Linked DNA regions of Daphnia pulex. The protein of the gene in region 2 interacts with the protein of the main gene of each other region in a biochemical or structural test. Links are inferred from orthologs where the notes say so. Each region holds a gene or a part of one and is shown on either strand. Other genes may lie near its edges.

Region 1 (4,435 bases), about 10 Mb from region 2:
GGACGGCGGGCTCTTCCAGGGAGAAACCAGATGACAGCAGAGAGGTTTCAAACAGCAACATGACCAAATCCTTGACGGCTTTGTCGTTCTTGTCAGCCTCTGCTTTGACGCGAAGGGCTTCGATGATGGGGTGATCGGGGTTTATTTCCAGGTGCTTCTTGGCGGCCATATAACCCATGGTGGAGGTATCCCTCAAAGCCTGGGCCTTCATGATACGCTCCATGTTGGCTGTCCAGCCGTACTGGGAGGTGACGATACAGCAGGGAGACTCGACCAAACGGTTGGAAATGACGACCTTCTCGACCTTCTTGTCCAAGATGTCCTTCATGATTTTGCAGAGACCTTCGAATTTGGCCTTGTCGCTCTCGCGTTTCTTGGTTTCTTCATCATCTTCGGGGAGTTCCAGACCCTCCTTGGTGACGGAGACGAGCTGCTTGCCATCGTATTCCTTGAGCTGCTGGACGACGTATTCATCAATGGGCTCAGTCATGAAGATGACCTCCAATCCGCGCTTCTTGACAAGCTCGACGAAGGAAGAGTTGCTGACTTGATCTCTGTTCTCGCCAGTGATGTAGTAAATGTGCTTCTGGTTCTCCTTCATGCGGGAAACGTATTCCTTGAAGGAAACCTGGTCCTCTCCAGAGGCGGAAGTGTGGTAACGGATGAGGTCAGCGATCTTCTTACGGTTGGTAGAATCTTCATGAACTCCCAACTTCAAGTTCTTGCTGAATTGTTCGTAGAATTTCTTGAAGTTCTCCTTGTCCTCGGCCAACTCCTCGAAAAGTTCCATGCATTTCTTGACCAAGTTCTTGCGAATGACCTGAAGTAGAGAAAAGTAATAATTAGTTTCAGTTAACGATGTTGACAAAAGAAATAGAATAAATTACCTTCAAGATCTTGTTTTGTTGGAGCATTTCACGAGAAATGTTGAGGGGAAGATCCTCAGAGTCGACGACTCCCTTCATGAAGTTGAGGTACTCGGGGATGAGCTCCTCGCAGTTGTCCATGATGAAGACACGGCGGACGTACAACTTGATGTGGTTCTTCTGTTTGCGGTTCTCAAACAGATCGAAAGGTGCACGACGTGGGACGAAGAGGAGAGCGCGGAACTCAAGCTGGCCTTCAATGGAGAAATGCTTGACAGCAAGATGATCCTCCCAGTCATTGGTCAATGACTTGTAGAACTCTCCATATTCTTCCTGGCTGATGTCATCGGGATTGCGAGTCCAGATGGGCTTGGTTTTGTTGAGCTCCTCATCGACAGAGTATTTCTCCTTGATGGTCTTCTTCTTCTTCTTGTCTGTTTCCTTGTCGGCTTCTTCATCCTCACCAACATCTTCGACCTTTGGTTTCTCCTCATTCTCGTCCTTCTTTTCTTCCTCCTCAGCCTCATCGTCGCTCACTTCCTTGTCGCGCTCCTTCTCGACCAAAAGCTTGATTGGGTAGCCAATGAACTGCGAGTGCTTCTTGACAACCTCCTTGACTTTCTTCTCCTCCAGGTAATCCATTTGATCTTCCTGCAAATTAAAGAAAAAACAAATATTAGCATACAGGAAATTAAGCCAGCGAAGACAAAGAAACATACCTTCAAGTGGAGGACAATCTTGGTTCCTCTACCCATGGGTTCTCCGTGATCAGGCTTGATGGTGAAAGAACCACCAGCTGACGATTCCCAAACGTACTGCTCATCATCATTGTGCTTGGAGTGAACTGTCACCTTGTCGGCAACCAGGTATGCAGAGTAGAAACCCACACCAAACTGGCCAATCATGGAGATGTCAGCTCCGGCAGAGAGGGCTTCCATGAAAGCTTTGGTTCCAGACTTGGCAATGGTACCCAAGTTGTTAACCAAATCAGCCTTGGTCATGCCGATACCACTAAAGAAGACACAGTACAGTTAAATAATTGCTCTAATCAGAAAAACTTGACTTCTAAACTTACGTATCACTGAGAGTGAGGGTACGGTCATTCTTGTTGGGGACAATCTTGATTTCAAGATCCTTGCCGCTGTCCAACTTGCTAGGGTCAGTCAGGGATTCATAACGGATCTTGTCTAGGGCATCTGAGGAGTTGGAGATCAACTCACGCAAGAAGATTTCTTTGTTTGAGTAGAAGGTGTTGATGATCAAGCTCATAAGCTGAGCAATCTCGGCCTGGAATGCGAAAGTCTCGGCTTCGGCTTCCATTTGAACTTCTTCAGGCATCTAAACACAGACAAATATATTTAAGTTAGAAACGTTTGTCAATCGTGGTACATTAGACTCAATAATTCAAATTCAAAATATTTTTGTACTAGCGGCATATCAAAAAATGAGTAAATGAGCAATTATTTTTTAAACTTACTTTGCTTTAGAAGATAATTAAACAAGAACACAAGATTGTTTGCAAGAATGGTCTCGTGGAGAGTTTTTCCCGTGTGGAGATGCGATGTTTTTCGCTCAATCGCCGGTTGAAGACTGTGAAGAGTCGAACACGAGGGAGGCCTTATATCAAAGAGGGACCCGGGGAATCCAACGTTGTAGTAGTGGAAGCTACTAGAACAAACCATAGGGGAGGAGGGGGTTCGAATTCTCTCGAAAAATCGAGAATGTTCCTTACCGAAGGAAGTCTTGGTGTTGCCGCTTTCAAACAATTACACACAAACTCATTCAATTTACCTTATTTTTAATTTTTAAATTCACACAAATTCTGTATATTTCTCAAGTATTGGTGGAATTTGAATTTTGAGTGGCTACTGATATTTTTTGAATTATTTAAAATGTTTTCCAAAAAATCGACACCGAGTCTACCGACCATGTGTTTTGACGGATCGTTGATTCGGTGTTCGTAACCGTTTTTAACCGTCAATTCAAGTCCCATCTGCTGTCTAATGCATCTGTTTGTATGAGTTGGTCTGGGATTATCATATTACCAACCAGTTGACACATGCTTACTAATTTTGACTAATAATATCATGTAATGAAATGTTTCAGTTTTTTCTGCATTATTGCTTTTTTCGTAAATAATGCATTCTTGCTTGTAAGAAACGGTGAAATCATAGTTCACCTTTTGCCTTTGTAATAGCGAGTCGAGATTCGAGAAACGTCTAGAAAGCCTCACGTCTGGTAAACCCCACGTGGTTTTTCTTCTTCAGAAATCTTTTGTTCACTCAGTCGATAAGATTACAACGAGTTATAAAGTTTGTAAACCTGTACAACAAAATTCTTGTTGTTATAAATTTTGTACAGAAAAAAAATAAAGAAGATTTTTTTTTTAATTCTTCAGCTTCAGGCAAAACAATTTAATTCAGGTGACAGATAGGAATGCCCTTTAAAGCCTTGAAGTAAACAGAAGCTTGACATTGAGTTCTCCAAGAGCAATTTTATCTTGTGGAATTCACATTAAGGTTTTTACTGAATTTCACCTATGGCGTGTGACTCATAACGAGATTTTGACTAAGAAATTATCATTCTTTCCTTCCAGGCTTCCAGGAAACTTGTTCGTATTTATATCGAAACAGATATTTTCCTTGAATTTAGGCCCCAACGTCGAATGCTGCAGTGCGGCATTAGACACAGGTTTACACACACCGAGTTCCTCTGTTGGGTTTCCTCTATGTCAATGGCCTAGGTTGCCGAACCCAATTCCCTTGTAGAGATCAAGGAATGAAGGTGTGTCATATCAACGTTGCGTAATTGACCTCCAATTGTTGTTATTTATTGCCATTAACCAACTCCCAACATTTTAATCGTAAATGAACTTTATGTAGTAATTATGAGTCGCAAAGGGTGTGACGATTTTAAGATGATGGTAGGCTGTGTGGTGCAAGATGGACTTCCAGCAGTCAAACTCAAACCATCTGGTTTAATTATTTTTATCACAGGTGAGTAGTGACAGGTGTCAGAACTACCAGTGCGCACAATGCACGAACCATGAAATATCTATGAACGTTTCAACACAATATAATTAATTGTTTTAAATAAAAGGCTTTGATGATGTTAGCAAACGATCAATTAATCGATTTCTAAATTAACAGATATCGGAAAAAATTAAATGAGAAAACCTGCAAGATTGTTTGCAAGTTTTGTTCAGAGGAAAACATTTTCTGTCTGCTGGTGTATATTTTATTATTTTGCTTCCTTAATCCTTATCGTTGTTTGGAAGTTGGAAACTTAAAAGATTAGCAGTTTTTACTGGCTGAAAAAAATTTTGAAAGCTATTCTTACTTTTGCTTGTGTAATAAGATGAGATTTTCAAATCAAAACTGTCAATAACAATTCAAGTAGTTAAATGTAGAAAATGCTTTTTTTGTTACATGCAAGTAAGAGTAATTCTTTTAAAATTCAACAAAGTATGTAGAAAAAATTCTACTCAAAACAAAACTGATTAATCAATGATTTTTTGTTGAAAACGATTTTCAAATTGAATCAAATTTGCGCCATCGTTATTCCGCGCA
Region 2 (3,811 bases):
ATACGACGCGTCATGGACGTTGCCGTGCGTCAGGGTTGACACCTTAGTGATTTTGTACCAAAACGCAACAGACGCTTCGGTCCCAACCCTACTCACCCGATGAAGGACTAAAAAACATCTAGACCTCTCAGAGAAAAGATTCCCTATTTCGAGAGAGTCGATTTTAAAGAACAGATAAAACGTTATTTTTCTGAACAATTCAAAAAATTAGCTCTGTCATTCCAGGAACATTTAGCCAACCTGAAAACCCAGAACCCGTTACTGGATACAATGAATGGAAAGATTTAATCATAGAACCATTTAAGGACCCATCTGAGAATCAATTTTTTAAGAACGAACTGTCTGAAATTGAACAAAAAGCTAACGAACGAGTAAGAGAATTTCGCCCACGTTTAGAAACATGATTTGTTAAAGCCTACAACGGAATGCTTTTTTCCATAGTACAAATGAAGATATGACTCTCAAAAGAAACGACATTCGAAGGAAAAAAAGAATGCATTTGAAGGAGGACTCAAAAGGGAGTTACTCCCAGGTGAAAACAGAGTACTGCGCGATGCTGACTACGCAACATGTGAAGTCACAGCAACAGATATAGAAAGAAGTTTAGCACGCAAAAAATCAACTTCTCACAAAAACCGTCATTCACAAATAAGCGCTATTAGTTTACACAAAAAATTACTTTTAGTATTATTCGAATTACTTTAATTGTCTTTTAATGATTTATTTTAAGTTTATGGTAACCGCCATAAACTCCGTGTTAAACACGGCTCGAAGCCTCGAACATTTTGTCGCGCTGTTAAATTAATTTTAAAATAATAAATGTTAACGAAAATGTAAAAAATTTGTAACACATTTTTATCAACAGTGTTGTGGCCGATATTTTTTTTTTACCGCGAGCCCGGCCCGATTAACAGAAACAAACATCATGTCAAGGTCGTGATCTTTTTTGCGATCGCCGCTAGATGGCAAGGGGAAATGATTACCAACGTTTTCAAGAATCAAGACAAAGCACAAAGCAATTTGCAAAAATACATTTAATCACTGAAACTTTATAAACTTTAATGTATAACAATAATTTTTTATATAAAAATAAAAACAATAATTTATTGGTGGTGCTATTTAAAAAAAGGGTTTTTTTATTAATTAAAGATAGCGACGATCGCAAATCTGATCGAGCGATTTCTGGCCTGCAATTCCGATCCCGGTCGCGTTTTTCAGTTTGGATCGCGATCGCTAAAAATTTACCGTGGTCGTGATCGCACGATCGAACGATTGCAATCGTCACGACATTTTTTATTAATAAAATAAGTATCAGTTTATAATGAATAAATTTTTTGAATTAAGACCCCTATTTCCCGTATATAAATGTTTAATGGTTCATTTCTTTAAGATCCCACGCTACGATTTTGTCCGGGTTTTATTATGTAAATAGTGTGTAATGTGTCAATAATGTTCATTTTTCCTAAAGGCTAAAACTAAAACCCCCCTTTTTTTAGCTAAAATGGCCTTAGTAGAGACGAAGTTGCTTTAGTCCATTCAGGAACAAGCTCCACCCATCGCCAGAGGGGTGTACCTCTTTGGAGTTATCACTTAGGCAAAGGTTCAGTTTTCTGCCACCACTCTGTCGAGTCTACAATCGTAGATTCGTAGTGTTAGCGTTTAGATAATCTGTCACTTTCCACTTTTCCATTAAGTTCTTAACTTTATCGCGAATAAAATGGTAGACTACAGCAAATGGAAAAATATCGAGGTAAATTGTTGCTTCAAAAATGTTGTGTTGTTATTTTACCATATTTTTGCGGGTTCTCTAACCTTCTATTTATTGTCAGTATAGTATTTAATCGTAATTAAGTATCGTAATTAAGTATTCGTTATTTATATGTTTCATTTAAACACTCACGTACTTCATAATACTTTACAGATATCTGACGATGAGGATGATACACATCCTAACGTTGACACGCCTTCTCTGTTCAAATGGCGACACGAAGCTAGATTAGAAAAAATGAAGGAAATGGAACAAGAAAAAGCTCTGTTTCTCAAAGCAAAAAATGAGTAATGCTAAATAACTAGCTTTAATGTTTTTGTTAAAGTTTACATTAAATCAAACTTTTCTAACAAAGGAACACTGCCAAACTAAAAGAAGTTAAAAGTAAGTATGAACAGGTGATGAAAGAAGGTATTGATGTGACAGATTTGAAAAAGCAATTGAGTGAATTAGAATCGAAAAAAATTGAACTCGAAGATCATGAAGAACAAATGAAAAAAAAGGAAAAGTTGATGCCATGGTATTTAAAAGATTCACTTCAATATATCCTAATGTGATGTCTAATTTCAAAGTTTAATTGTGGTTTTTTTGCATATTTTTTTTAGGAATGTAGATACAATTAGTCAACCTGGATTTTCAAAAACTGTGGTCAATGTTGACCAACCCAAAAAAGTGAAAGAGCTCACTGAAGAGGAGAAAGAAATCAAAACACGTGAATTTTTCAAGAAACATGAGAAAAATCTTAAGGCATATGGAATGCTACAAAAGTATGATGATAGTAAGCGTTTCCTTCAAGAAAATCCAGAGCTGGTTTGTGAAGAAACAGCAAACTATCTCGTGATTTGGTGTATTAATTTAGAAATGGAAGAGAAAACAAGTTTAATGGAACATGTTGCCCATCAGTGCATTTGCATGCAATTCATTCTTGAATTATCCAGGCACCTTAACAGAGATCCAAGATCATGTGTGTCTTCATTCTTTTCAAGGTTTATCTTTATATTAAGTTGTCCTTTATGTAGCTATAACTAAATGAATTGTTTACTATTTTATCTCTTTTAGAATTCAAATCGCAGATGTTGAGTATCGTAAAGGATTTGAAGACGAACTTGTAGCTTTCAAAGACCGTATACAACGGCGGGCGAAAGAGAAAATAGAAGCTGCAATTGCCGAAGCTGAGGAGGAAGAAAAGAAAAAACGACTTGGTCCTGGAGGGTTGGATCCCGTTGAAGTATTTGAAAGTTTACCGGAGGTATAATTGAGCAAGACACATAAATTTCCTTCCACATATATGAATCATGTGTTTTGTTGTGTAGGTTCTTAAGGATTGTTTTGAAAAACAAAACATTGAGCTTCTTCAACAAGCAATTTCAACACTACCTGAAGAAGAAGCACGGTTTCATATGAAAAGATGTGTTGACTCCGGATTGTGGGTACCCGACGGAAATGTTGCTGGAAATATTGCAGAAAATGTTGCAGAAAATTAAAATACTAGTTTGGATTATTATATTCATTAATAATGAATTAATACACTGGGGCTTTTGAATAACGTGTATTTGACGTTTTTACCTCCAGTTTCATACTCACCTCACTTTAAAATTGTAAAGTTAAAAAGCCTTAAGAACAGACAAGTTACTGCTATAAAAACATACGCTAGTATTCTTCAGTCTGGAATTGCGACTCTTCCACTTCGTATTTAATGTTGTCAGGATCATATTGATTATAGCCATCATATTGTTGGGCCGTATAGTCATAATCTGCAAATTTCAATTCCACAAATTAGTAATAGATATTTTTCATTAACAGCTAATTCCAATACCATCAGGCGGTTCTTCCTTCACTCGCACTTGTTCACCATCCTCCCGAACATAGTCCCTACGCTCTCGTTCCCTGTGAAAAATTATTCATTAAATTCTGAAGTTGAATTCGATAATTTGATTGCTTACTTATCCTTGTAACGATCGCGACGTTCCCGGCGATCCTTGTTCTTGTCTTTAACTCGATCTTTTTCTTTGCGACGCTCATCGCCAGAAGCGACTTGACCAG

What was found. The genes of interacting proteins can lie anywhere in the genome.
Region 1: the proteins of hsp90 co-chaperone Cdc37-like (region 2) and heat shock protein 83 form a complex in vitro, tested with the Caenorhabditis elegans proteins (3 studies listed by BioGRID). The link is inferred for Daphnia pulex from reciprocal best matches to the Caenorhabditis elegans genes cdc-37 and hsp-90.

What each region holds. Positions count from the first base shown.
Region 1 is NC_060026.1:16,238,452-16,242,886, reverse strand, and holds the start of heat shock protein 83, read right to left. Parts: upstream 2,857-4,435; 5' UTR 2,344-2,856; intron 2,205-2,343; coding exon 1,942-2,204; intron 1,878-1,941; coding exon 1,586-1,877; intron 1,518-1,585; coding exon 888-1,517; intron 821-887; coding exon 1-820. UniProt on the Caenorhabditis elegans protein: Molecular chaperone that promotes the maturation, structural maintenance and proper regulation of specific target proteins involved for instance in cell cycle control and signal transduction. Undergoes a functional cycle that is linked to its ATPase activity.
Region 2 is NC_060026.1:6,136,692-6,140,502, forward strand, and holds hsp90 co-chaperone Cdc37-like, read left to right. Parts: upstream 1-1,591; 5' UTR 1,592-1,717; coding exon 1,718-1,750; intron 1,751-1,921; coding exon 1,922-2,055; intron 2,056-2,123; coding exon 2,124-2,288; intron 2,289-2,373; coding exon 2,374-2,754; intron 2,755-2,827; coding exon 2,828-3,017; intron 3,018-3,081; coding exon 3,082-3,252; 3' UTR 3,253-3,311; downstream 3,312-3,811. Other genes in the region: U1 small nuclear ribonucleoprotein 70 kDa-like, read right to left, coding at 3,419-3,522, 3,585-3,655, 3,712-3,811.